3 linked regions of the Rattus norvegicus genome follow. The protein of the gene in region 2 interacts with the protein of the main gene of each other region in a pairwise test. Links are inferred from orthologs where the notes say so. Each region holds a gene or a part of one and is shown on either strand. Other genes may lie near its edges.

Region 1 (4,280 bases), on a different chromosome or scaffold from region 2:
CTGGTGTGTCTGAAAACAGCTACAGCATACCCACATATATAAAAAAAGAAATCTGGGGTTGGGGATTTAGCTCAGTGGTAGAGCACTTGCCTAGCAAGCTCAAGGCCCTGGGTTCGGTCCCCAGCTCCAAAAAAAAGAAAAAAGAAAAAAAAAAAGAAATCTAAAAAAAGAAGAGAGAGAGAGAGAGAGAGAGAGAGAGAGAGAGAGAGGCCAGGTGGTAGTGGCACATGCCTTTAATCCCAGTGCTCCAGAGGCAGAGGCAGAGGCAGAGGCAGGTGGAACTCTGAGTTCAAGGCCAGCCTAGTCTACAGAGGGAGTTCCAGGACAGCCATTGGGGGGGTGGAAGTAGTGGGGAGCAGAGAATTGTGATAATGTTTCTAGCTTATATGAGGTCTTGGACTCAACTCTCAGTACTAGAAAGAAATAAACAAGAGCCTGATGAGGTTCATACACATAATCCCAACCCCCCACATCCTGACGCAGGTCTGCAAGTTCTAGGCCATTGTGGGTTAGATAGTGATGCTCTGTCTTAAAACAAAAGCAAATAAAAGCAGTATGTCAGGGGTATAGTTCAGTGGTAGAATTGCTGCTTAAAGAGGCACTTGGACTAGATCCCTCTGGAAAAAACAAACACAAATAAAAAAATAAAGCCAGGTGTAGTGGTTATCTTAGCACTCAGGAGAATTACTACAAATTCAAGCTCAGCCTGCTATACAGAGTTTCAGGCTGGCAATAGCTGGTGAGGCCGTGTCAAAAACTTACTTATTTCAAATAAATAAATAAGTAGGTAAAAGAATGAATGCAGAAATATGAAACTTGGCTCGGTTTACTTAATTTCCTACAGTTCTCCAGGCCTTGTGCACACTTGCTATTCTGACTTTCAGCATTTGGATATCCAGCACTCACAGTGAAACCACTGTGGCAGAATTACACATCAACTGCCTTGTAGCAAACGCTGTTTTTCAGTGCTTGCCTTAGGTGAGCTTTCTCTTTCAGAAACATTAAACACTGCTAAGTCCCTCCACCCACCTTTTAGCTTACTAAACACTTAATATATGCCTGGTACCAACAGTCACTGTGGATTGTGGCAGATGCTATACCATAGCTACGACAGTCAGTCTTTGGCCTCGAGGAAATAACAACTTCCTGGGAGGGAAGGCAAAGAAACAGACCTTTATAACGGTGTGTGTGAAGAGAGACAAACTAAGGTGTTATGGGAGAGGTGTTTACACAGGATCTGGAGCTTGCTGCTACAGTGACAGCTTCCAGAGGGAGACAGACTAGGTGAGGACCAGGCTGACATGAGAGAAACATTCCCGGCAGAGTACAAAGACCTAGATGTGAGAAAAGGACCGGGGACATAGGTATGCAAGCTTCCACTAGACCTAGGCTCCACCACCTCCATTTGGCAAGTTGTTTAGGCTGAATGTAGTCTGACTATTCAGGCAGAAACGTGACAAGGGGTCTTTGCTGGAATTCTCAAGGTCAACAAAGGAGGCAGGGGGAGAAACCTCTGCAGAGCAGATTGAAAATCCTAAAGTTGGGGGTTGGGGATTTAGCTCAGTGGTAGAGCGCTTGCCTAGGAAGCGCAAGGCCCTGGGTTCGGTCCCCAGCTCCGAAAAAAAGAACCCCCCCCCAAAAAAAATCCTAAAGTTGGGGTGGAAGGTATTTTCAGAATGAAGGAGACATGAGAGGTTGATGCTGCCAGATCACCCGAGAGAATAAGCCATCTTGGATGTAGAAGCTTCTAGTTCACACTGGTGTAAATGGTGTTATTTCTACATCTCTGGTTGCTGCTCTGTAAGTCTTCCCCGTGCCTCCCCCAGAAGGTTTTTTGTCCCATGTTCTCCCATTCTCATGTCCGTCCACCCAGTGAAATGTGGGTGTTTCATCAGGACAGGGGCTGCAATCTGTCCTATTCACCTAGTGCAGTACCAGCTCACTTGATGACCCAAGACTTCTTCTTTTTTTTTTTTTTTTTTTTTGGTTCTTTTTTTTTTTTTTTCCGGAGTTGGGGACCGAACCCAGGGCCTTGCACTTCCTAGGCAAGCGCTCTACCACTGAGCTAAATCCCCAACCCCGACCCAAGACTTCTAAACACAAATTAACAAACCTTTGCGGTACAGGAATTGAGTTTTACTTCTTGGTAGCCCTACTTGGAGTGGTGCCAACGCTCCTTCACACCCATTCAAGTAATTATAGTGCCGGAGCTGCAGGAGAGTTTAAGTAGCATTCCCTCCTGCTCTAAAATCCAGATCTCCAAAATAGTCTCACCGTTCCCCTTCTCAAGCCTCAGATCCCCTTCACTAACAATTCCTTTTCACCGTGGTATATATGCTTGCTAAGACGCAGGGCGAACTCAACGATCTCCTTCCTCCAGCTGACTCTGATCCTGACTTCGTTAAATGAAGTCACAACCGTCCCTCCTTAACCCGGGTACAATAGGGGATATATACCATTGCTGAGGATTGTTGGGAATGAAGAGGCACACGGTAAAGTGCGATGTACATGAGATTTCTCTTTACAAACGTATAAGCACCTCCAGAGCAAACCTCCAGGGAAAGCGGACCCCTCCCTACAAACACAGGAAACAAACTGAGGCGCAAGGGACCGTCCAACCCCGATCCACCCTCAGAACCGCCGGCTCCTCTCAGGCCAGCACGAGCCGGGCCGGTTAAGTCTCTGCTTTGACTCCGACCCGGGAAGCCCAACCCAGCGCTAGGCGTGGCCATACGCACCGCAGAGACTGGGGCCTCCGGTCCCGGAGAGCTGTCGGACACAGGTGAACGCTCCGCCGTTGGTCTCCCGAAGAGAGCTGCGCAGGTCCCTCTTTCTCCAGGAGGTGTCGACGCTTCCGTGTACGTCATCAGAAGGCGCCCATTGTGGAGCTTACAATGGAACTACTGGTGTCCAGGCATGCCGGGAAACGGCGGACGGGTCTCCATAGCAACTGGCCTACAGTCCCAGGCCTTCAGCCTGTCCTAGCATTGTGGTCTGTGTCCTTGGGTCCACCGCCATATAACACGATACTCTGGCCCACCACCCCTCAGCTTAGGAGAGTAACAGAGCCAGCTGTGGGTGTAACACTCGTTTATTTACACACTGTCATCCGAAGGCAAATGAGTAGCCCGACCTCCAGGAGGGCACAGAGCTGGGACTTTTAACCCCCAGGACCTACAGACCCTTTCCTCCTTGGAGCTCGGAGGGTGGAGGGCGCAGGCATGAAGAGAACGAGGAAGCTTACATTTTACGCCAGTTCTGAGCACTACGTTCTATGTTTTCATCTTTCCAAAAGGCTCATTTTATTAAATACTCAAGCTCTAGCCCATTCATACTTTTTGCTCTGCCGCTATCCACCCAACATTGTTAATAATAACAATATCATAATAATAACACTGTAGCAATATTAATACTTCACATTTGTACGAAGTTTACAGGATGTTTTCACATACAGCGTCTCATCTGAGCCAACAGTTCTGTGAGGTAGGTATTTTCACCTCCCTTTTTACAGACGGGGTAATGGAGGCTCAGAGAAGGAACAGGTTTTGCTCAAGGCCACCCTACTAGTTAGTGGTAAAGCTGAGACTTGCTCCCAGCACCTCATAGTCAAGTCCAGTGTTCCAAAACCACAGCTACCTCTGTAAAGTGGAGGCATGTTCTTACCCCAGTCAGGCCTGAAGCGCCAGATGCTGAAAATTCTCAGACCGTGGAAGGAAAGAACTCAGCATCGGTGGGGAGAGTTGGGGTACCTAGCCTTCAACTCCTGTTTGAATTGTCGGTAAAGAATCTTATTGCGCTGGTTTTCAGCCTCCTTTTGGGGGTGAAACTTCAATGCCTCCTTGAATCCCTTATGAACCAGAAAACCTTCGTTCAGCACCTCAAAATTAAACCCTGCCATGTGCAGTTCACAAGCCTGGAGAGATGGAGGAGAGGAGAGGGAAGAGAGGGAGAGAGACAGAGAGAGGTCATAATAATTTAATCATAATAACTTAATGATATCCCCAGGGCCCAAATGATCATCCTTAAAGTGTCACTCCACCCTCCTCAATTCTACACCATCCATCTTCTTGCTTCATTGCCTCTTTCCCACCAATGGCCACTCCATCCCTGACATACCTCCAGTTCCAGTCCCACATGCCCTCTCCTTTTTAAGTACCTGGCTGATTCGATTGAAACCATACTGCCGAAAGCGTTCATCAAATGTGGGCACCTTTCCTCCAGCCACGTAAAACGGTTCCCAGGGGTCCCTCCAGGGCACCACGTAGGCAGGTCTCAGCAAA
Region 2 (4,088 bases):
AAATTCTTTGGTTCTTCGAGGGTCATAGCAAACCTCCATAAGGTTCCTGAAGCCTTTTCTGACCTCCCCAGAAGACATTAGTTCTTCTTTATTGCTTACAAGGCACTTTAATTATATGTGTCACTTTAAGTAAGCAACGAATACCTACAGACTGGGACTACAGGCAGGCACTCCTGCTTGCATTCAGGGCAGGAACCTATGCAACCAAGAACTATACTATACTGTGCATACTATACTGTGTATTTTATATTGGATATTTTTCTGCCCAGTAAAATATATATTCATATTCATATATATTCATGTCCATATAGACATGAACTCCTCTTATTACATTTCTTTTTTTTCCTTTTTTTCGGAGCTGGGGACAGAACCCAGGGCCTTGCGCTTGCTAAGCAAGTGCTCTACCACTGAGCTAAATCCCCAACCCCTCTTATTACATTTCTTAAGAGAGAAATTACAATTGTTTTTAAATATTAAAACACCAACACTCTTTTTTTAAACATTTTTTTTAGATTTTTTTTTTTAAGATTTATTTATTTCATGTATGTGAGTACCCTGTCGCTGTCTTCAGACACACCAGAAGAGGGCATCAGATCCTATTACAGATGGTTGTGAGTCACCATGTGGTTACTGGGAACTGAACTCAGGAGAGCAGTCTCTGCTCTTAACTGCTGGGCCATCTCTCCAGCCCAAAGCACCAATATTTTTAAAAGCTCTTGATGTAAGTGGTCTATTGCATAACACCCCCAGAATATCTTCATCGCATTTCTCATCTGAATATTTTTCCCTTTCACACTGTGAGGAATGTATGGTAATTCTTCCCTTTCAAGCAATCTTATACTAAGCAGAAAAATGACCCCTTCAAAGACATCCATGTTCTAGTCCCAAGAACTTGGGAAAAACGTTACACTGCAGAGAAGATTTAAGGCTGCAAACTGAATTCAGGAGGCTGATTGTAAAATACGGAGGTAGGAGCTGAAGAGATGGCTCCAGGGTAAAGAGCTTGCTGGGTAAGCACTGGTACTTCCCATCCTGGGCAAGGTGCAGTGCATTCTGAGACTTGCTGTCAGACAGTGTAGCCAAGACTACAGGTCCACTGAGAGACCCTGACTCAGAAATTAAAGTGGAGCAAAAGAGAAGACAATATCCAGAGTTCTATCTCTGGCCTCCACAGGTGCATTCAGGTATGTACACACACACACACACACACACACACACACACACACACACACACACACAATATAGAGATTATGCTGCATTGTATGTGAAAACTTCACCTAACCAGAAACTCCTCTAGATTAAAGGAGGGGATAACATCAGCATTAGACTGAGATAGGAGGCAAAAACACGATCAGAGAAGCAATGCTGATCCTGACTTTGGAAATGGGAGACGGAATGCCAAGCCAAGCAAAGAAGGCTGATCCAGAAAGTGGAAGGAGTTCGTCCCAAGAGCTCCCAGGACAGAAGACAGCTCTGCTAGCCCCTTTACTTTCCCAGGGAGACGCACAGACCCTGACAACTGACAGACACACAGACATACACAGGCACACATCTCGTTTTAAAGTGGTACTAAAAGTAAATAGTTTTAAATTAAAAAGTGTGTCCATGCAGGCGCATGTGTGTATAAGCCACCAAGGCCATGTAATTAATTATGGCAGTAAACTTAAAAAAATAAACTATTATCTCATTTTCCTAAGTATACTTATATCATGGTGATGCAATACACCGAGTTCCTGGCAACATAAAGAAAGGAAGAAAATACAATGTATCCATGCTGTATACACCTGAAACATGTCCAAAGATGGGGTGATGCAATACACCGAGTTCCCGGCAGCATAAAGAAAGGAAGAAAATATAATGTATCCATGCTGTATACACCTGAAACATGTCAAAAGATGGATACAATTTTAACAATTAAAAGATCCTAATTGTATTTCTTTTATAATCAGGGGACAGTTGATTGAGTACAATAAAGTAACTGGTCTATCTGGGTGGTGGCACAGCTCTGTAACAAGAGGATCAAGAGTTCAAAGCCAGCACAGTGTAAATAGAAAGCAGTTGCCTCGACTGTTTTCGTTGCTGTGCAGAAGTTTGGTTTATAGGCAGGGAAGAAAGCTGAAAAAGCAGGAAGTGAACATATTGATTCAGAGTTAAGTTCTCTGTGAGACAGGGCCAGGGAGACCGGAACACAATAAGGGACTGGTGAATGTCCAGCAACTTTATGTGACGATTAAAGGAGAGGTGATTTCATTCTCTGGCCCAGTGAAACCTGCTGATTCCCCTCTCTCCTGGCTGGACCGGACACAGGAAAAGTTTCCTTCAGAGGCACACAAGTTAGCTTGGATGCCTCTGGAACAGGAGTCCTCTTAGTCCAAACCAGTGGCCTCCTAGAAATTTATTAAGTATTTTCCCTTCAACATCTCCTCCCAAAACAAAACAAAAAATCTTACATATTCTGAAAAAGTGAGGCGTGACTACAGAATTCAGCACCTAACAAGGAAAAATGAATAATAGTCTTCCCGGGAAAGCCATTTTACTAAGAACATGCTGGAGCCAGTCCCAGTGACTATAACTTTCCTTTTCCCAGGAAGGGAAGCAACCCAAGGCTGAGAGCCCGGAGCAGGTGAGTCCCCAGACAGAGCACTGGGGACCCTGAGGCCCACAATGCTGGGCTGGAAGCCGCAGTCCTCCGCCCTCTGAGCGCGCGGGGTGGAGCATCCCTGAGCGAGGGTGGTGGGACAGCAGGGACGCAGAGGACCATCCGGTGGGACAAGCACTCACCCTCTCTGCCGCGCAGCGCTCGGAAGCCGGCAGCGCCGGTAGAACCGAACCCCACCTCGGAAACACAAACCTGGCCTCTGCAATGAGCAGGCTCAGTCACAGGCCGTTCTTTCACTTTCGTTTATTTCAGAAACAGGATGCTTCTGCTCCTTGCCCTGCGGACCTCGTCCCGGGCGCCATTGCTGCTGTTTCTATACTGGCAGTAATTCCAAGACCTGCTTTGAAAAGCTTATTTGTGTGCATTCTGCGGAACGCGCTGTTGAAAAAAACTGTATGGAAACCAGGGCTCTCTACGCAAATTCCCTCTGTAATTTGCTAGACGGTTACAAAGTTTGACACCAGCACAAGACAGACCAGGAAGCTGGAAAAGCTGCTTCCTGGGTTGGATTTTATGACGCTTGAAAGTTTTCTTCTAAGCTTTGTTTTTGTTGTGAAGATTTTGTAAACAAACACTCCCGCTAGATGTGTGCATTTCCTTTGCCAGAAAAATAGCTGGCTTCTGTCAAGAATGGTAGTGTCCCCTAATCCTATACCAAGAACGAGTTACTCCATAGCTGGGCGGCACTTGAGCACAGAGCTGTGGAAGAGTGGAAGACAGCAAAGAGATATCAGGGCCTTCTACATAGTGGTGCCCTGTATCAGTACGTATTAACCCATAGCTCGGTCTAAAATGACACACAGTGGCAGAAGCAAAATTCTTTGCATCAAGAGTAGTGATGGGGCGGCCGGGTTGGCGGCGGTGCAGGCCTTTAATCCCAGCACTCAGGAGGCAGAGGCAAGAGGATCTCTGTGAGTTTGTGGCCAGAGTTCCAGGACAGCCATGACTATACAGGAAAAAACCTGTCTGGGCCAGGGAGGGCGGGGGTGGGGTGGGGGGGGTGGTGGTGGTGATAGGACCCAGTTTACAATGACACCAGAACCATATGAGACCCTGTCTTAAAAAAAAAAAAAAAAAAAAAAGATAAGGGTTTCTTTTGTGTTGTCAGCCCAATTAGAAAGTACAGGCTACAGTGACTGGTACATGGGAAGGGGGGTGATTCCCAGGGTTGGGTTACCCCTTCTCAGAGGAGAAGGGGAGGGCAGAGGACATATAAGAGAGTGGGACTAGGAGGAGAGGAGGTGTTGATGTTGGGATGTAAAGTAAATAAATAAATTAATTGTCTATTTTTTGAAAAATAAAAACAAATGGTCTCGGTATTAGGTTTTCTTCTGAATTTGAGTGGGAGCATAAATGTCAATTAAAACTCATAAGAGGTCATTGGTTTGGACTGAGTTCCAGAGCAAAAGTGAAATCGCTTATGCTGAAA
Region 3 (4,280 bases), on a different chromosome or scaffold from region 2:
GGCTGCTCTTGGTCAACATATGTAGGTGCCCAGGAGCCACCAGTCTTGGAAGCTGCTGTGCAGGCTGGGATGGATCCAAAATAGATGCCTTCTGTTGGGGGTACAGATCTGCTGGGGTCACCAACCACCACAACTGGGTGTCACGGACCTGTATCTAAGCAGACCTCATCTACAACTCAGCCCCAATGAGAGAATAAGGTCCCTCAGGATCTGGTGCTCATCGTGATCTTAACTCTAAAACAGTACGGCAAAGAACTGGAGAAATTAACAGGGTGAGCTCCAGGGAACGGTGGGCAATTATGGGCAAAGGGCATGGGACCTGGGTCTCTGTTCTGGGGCACCCAACAGCCTCAGAAGAGAAGAGGAGGACGAGGACGAAGGTTAGTAAATGGATGGAGACATTGACAGATAAACACTGAAGTCTCCAGCAACACAGGGCTCATATTGAGATATCCCAGGAAGCCCTTGTTGGCTGCAAGTGGCCCCGAAGGCTTCCGGCACGTGCCAAAAAATGGAGCAGGCGCCAGGATGGCCACCAGGGGGCCAGCCGACGTTTCTAAGTACCCGTCCCGTCGGTGAGTCGGTGAGGAAGCATCCGAGCACCGAGCTGGGTTGCAGAGGACTAGCGGAGGAAACTGGACTAGGCCACGGAGTGACAACAGCGTGTCCAGTGGTGCCAACAGAAGCCGCGCAGGGGTTTCAGGTGGAACGAGGTGTGGGGTGCAGCATAGGGGAGAGGATTAGGGGCGGGGGAGTTCTCGGGTGCTGCCCCTCCCCCATGGTTCCGGCCCATTCCCCTCCCCCACCGAGGGCTAATTCGTAGGTTAGGGAGCTTCCACATTTCTCTCCCCGTCGGTTTTGTTTGCGTTTGGTCCTTTGTATTAGGTCCGTTCATTGGGTAGGTTCGAGATTTACCCCGCCCAAATTCCAGGGCTAGCCAATTACAGAAAATGTCTCAACGCCCCGTATTCCGGGGATCGTCACCGTACTGCGACGATTCCCAGGATGTTTAGGCCTCAGTGATCTTTGCTCCCGGGACTCGGGCCTTGAGCCCAAGGATACCTCCAGAGCCTGTGCCTGGTAAGGTGCCCTCTGAGCATCCGAATGACCCTTGGAAATCTATGCTTTCTTTTCTTCACACGACTCTCTGATGTGTCCTCGAGTGGACGCGCTGATCCCGATGAGGAGTTTGCAGACGCTCCCTTGAGCCTAGGTCGCGTCCCCTTTAAGAGTGCGGCCGTTCAGGGGACCGCCTGCTTGGACAGGCGCCCCGGGCCCCAGCTCTGTAGGTGGTCGCGGGCAACGAGAGCGCAGCAACCGAGTAAGGGCTGAGCGAAGCTCATGTTTAAATAGACGGCGTAGGCTGCCGGACCGGAAAGACGGTACGCTGAGCAGGCGTGCGGCGGGCAGCCCAACTCAGGCCCCGCCCCGCCCCGCCCGCTGGGGTCCTGCGCTCCGGGCTGCGCGCGGCGGGCGCGGAGGGAAGTCCCGAGACAAAGGAGCGCCGCCGCCTCTGCCGCCGCGACGGTCCGGGCCGCGGTCGCCCAGGTGAGCCGCCACCGGCTTGCGCGCGCACTCCAATCCTCGCCTGGAGTCGCCGCCGTTCCCAGTGAGCTTCCGGGAGGCGCCGAGCGGAGCCACAGCGGCCTCCTCTCGCTCGCGGCCTCCTCCCGCCTCCGAGTCTCGGCCTTCGGGGCAATAGGGCCCAGCCGCTGTGCCATGGGCGAATGCAGGGTTGGGAACACGGCCCACTACCCCCCTACTCTTGGCGTACTGAGTTCCGCCGACCCCACAACAGATAATCTGAGCTTCCCAGTAGCTCCTAGACACATTCTGGGCGGTGCTGGGCTCCGTAGTTAGGCGAGCGGGAGTGCAGGAAGGCCGTGGGCACTGGGCCGTGTCGCGGCCTGTAAGCACCCGGAGTCACAGCAGAAGGCTTGGCTTACTTCGTTCGTTGCTGAGACGCTAGGCTTGTAGTTTGGGTTTTTGTGGGGGTCTTGTGCATGTTCTCTGCCCCACTGTTCTTTTTTCTTAAGGAACCGTTTTAGTGGATGAATTACCTCTCTGCATAGCAGAAAACGGGTATCAAAGGGGAATTTGTTTTGATTCTAAAGGTTTTCAGGCTGTGAGTGATTGCAGTCCTGCCCTCCTCTGGCTGTCTCTGCCACTAGAAACTCAAGAAACGGCGTGGTATACTTAGTGAAGGATCCTTAGGGCCTAGAGTGTGCATTCGAGTAGAAGAGGCCGCTTAGCCTTATCCAAGCCAGCCTTAGTGGCCGGTACCCACGTTTCCTCTGCCGAGGTGGGCGGAGATAAGCAACCTTGCACAGGTTCTCTGACCGGTAAGTAACTCTGAAGTAGGTGGTGTCGCCAGACGAATACTGCACACTGCAGGAACCTTGAGGTGGTAGAAAGACCCATCCCTCTGTGTTCTGCCGGTCTCTAGTAGTGGGGAGAGGATTGTATTTTGTTGTTTTTTGGGGGTTTTTTCCTTCGAATTTTTCTTTGCCGGGGGTAGGGGTGTATTTACATCACAAAACTTTAGCTCGTGGAGTGACTGTTACCGCTCTCGGGAGCAGCGGCACTGTCTCAAGGACCAGTTTCTGCTTAGATCGTTGCCAGTGTGTCTCTAGGGTTCCTTTTCTTTGACCGTGGGACCTTTAAGAGCTCTGGTAAGAGCCGTCTCTCACTTTGCCTCCCTGCTTTTGAGACAGCATCTCTTGTAGCCAAGGCTAACCTTGAACTCTTGGGGGTCCCCCTGGTTCAGTCTCCTTAACACTTGAGTGTGCAGGCACGAGCCACCACTTGAGCTAGCTTCTCGGTTCTTCTCACTTAGGATAACTGCAGTTGGATGCTAGGACAGAGTTTTCTGGGCACACAACTTTCTCCTGAGGTCAGTTATGGCTGTCCAACAGCTTGTGTAGCATAGTGTCCAGGCTTCTTCAGAGAACTGACCCGGGGTCCAGAGACCTGTTTGGAAACCCTGCCCAGACTTGCTTGGGATCTTCTGCCATCTGACTGGCTGGGTGAGGAGAGCAGCTCCTTCACTGCCTACCCTTAGTTAAAGAAGCTAGAGTGCTTGTACCCTTAAGCCCGAGGACGAGATTGGGCTTGTGCATTGAGAAGTTGAGAAGAGGGACACATTGGATACATAGGCTTCTGTGCCCTGCTCCAGCCATTGATGTCCTTGGGTCTACCTCTGCCCTCATACCCTCTAACCAGACAGCTCAGGTGCGCCAGTGTCACCTGGGCGTTGCTGTCAAAGCTTGCTCTTATCAGCAGCCCCTGTGGCCAGCAAACTGCCTGTCCTCTTAGATGGATGCCACCTGGGTCCTACATTGACTACAAGGACTATTATTAGGGCAGGTGTTGGGGTGGCCAGAACCTCCGTGGTTGTGCTTGTTCGCAGACAGGCTTTACTCCTTGCTGGGGAAAGACAGTTGGGTTTGGGCTGGACCCTGTGTTTTAGACTTGAGGTCGGTAAGAGAGGAGCCTTGCCTTTAGTTTGTACACTTTGTGCTTTGGGACTGGAGCTGTGGAACATAGGTGCTGCCTTTTGTGATTTATAAAAAAGGAATCAGGATGTTTGATAGAGCTAGGTATGCTTAGGAATGCCAACATTGTCGAGGCTTGTCTTGGCGGCTTGTGCTTTTTTTTTTTTTTTTTTTAATTTTAGAATCTATTTTATGTGCATTGTTGTTTTATCTGCATTCCTCTATGTGAGGTTGTCAGGTTCCCTGGAACTGGAGTTACAGGCAAATAAGCTGCCATGTAGGTGCTGGAAATTAAACCAGGTATTCTGGAAGAGCATGTAGTACTCTTAATTGCTGAGCTATCTCACCACTCCCAGCTTGTGCTTCTGAAAGTTTCTTCATGTTGGCTTAGAGTGTACAGGATATTAAAAATGCCAATACAGGGGTTGGGGATTTAGCTCAGTGGTAGAGCGCTTGCCTAGCTGGTTCGGTCCCCAGCTCCGGAAAAAAAAAAATGCCAATACAGGCGTTTGTCTAAAAGTGACCTCACCCACTAAAATGTTTCCTGAACTCTAGGCTCCTGGGTGATGCTGCCACCTCTGATGGCAGTCCCAGCCTTTCTCTACTTGTGTACTTGTACAGTCATCAAAAGCAGTCTAGGGTGCTGTGGTGCATAATTGTCAAGGCCAGCCTGGTCTACATAGTATGTTTCTGGCCAGCTGTGGCCACATGGTGAGAATGTCTCCAAAAATAAAGGAAAGGAAAAAGTGGTCTAGGAGCCAGGTGGAGTGACTCATGCCTGTAATC

What was found. The genes of interacting proteins can lie anywhere in the genome.
Region 1: the proteins of Nmi (region 2) and Brms1 interact in binary tests that used the Homo sapiens proteins (3 or more experiments, as listed by UniProt). The link is inferred for Rattus norvegicus from reciprocal best matches to the Homo sapiens genes NMI and BRMS1.
Region 3: the proteins of Nmi (region 2) and Ube2i interact in a two-hybrid assay, tested with the Homo sapiens proteins (3 studies listed by BioGRID and IntAct). The link is inferred for Rattus norvegicus from reciprocal best matches to the Homo sapiens genes NMI and UBE2I.

The regions. Positions count from the first base shown.
Region 1 is NC_086019.1:211,773,662-211,777,941, reverse strand, and holds the start of Brms1 (breast cancer metastasis-suppressor 1 homolog), read right to left. Parts: upstream 2,801-4,280; 5' UTR 2,739-2,800; intron 1-2,738. Other genes in the region: B4gat1 (beta-1,4-glucuronyltransferase 1), read right to left, coding at 3,722-3,913, 4,157-4,280. UniProt on the Homo sapiens protein: Transcriptional repressor. Down-regulates transcription activation by NF-kappa-B by promoting the deacetylation of RELA at 'Lys-310'. Promotes HDAC1 binding to promoter regions.
Region 2 is NC_086021.1:56,845,744-56,849,831, forward strand, and holds the start of Nmi (N-myc-interactor), read right to left. Parts: upstream 2,801-4,088; 5' UTR 2,782-2,800; intron 1-2,781. UniProt on the Homo sapiens protein: Acts as a signaling pathway regulator involved in innate immune system response.
Region 3 is NC_086028.1:14,795,455-14,799,734, reverse strand, and holds the start of Ube2i (SUMO-conjugating enzyme UBC9), read left to right. Parts: upstream 1-1,480; 5' UTR 1,481-1,548; intron 1,549-2,203; exon of another isoform or gene 2,204-2,342; intron 2,343-4,280. UniProt on the Homo sapiens protein: Accepts the ubiquitin-like proteins SUMO1, SUMO2, SUMO3, SUMO4 and SUMO1P1/SUMO5 from the UBLE1A-UBLE1B E1 complex and catalyzes their covalent attachment to other proteins with the help of an E3 ligase such as RANBP2, CBX4 and ZNF451.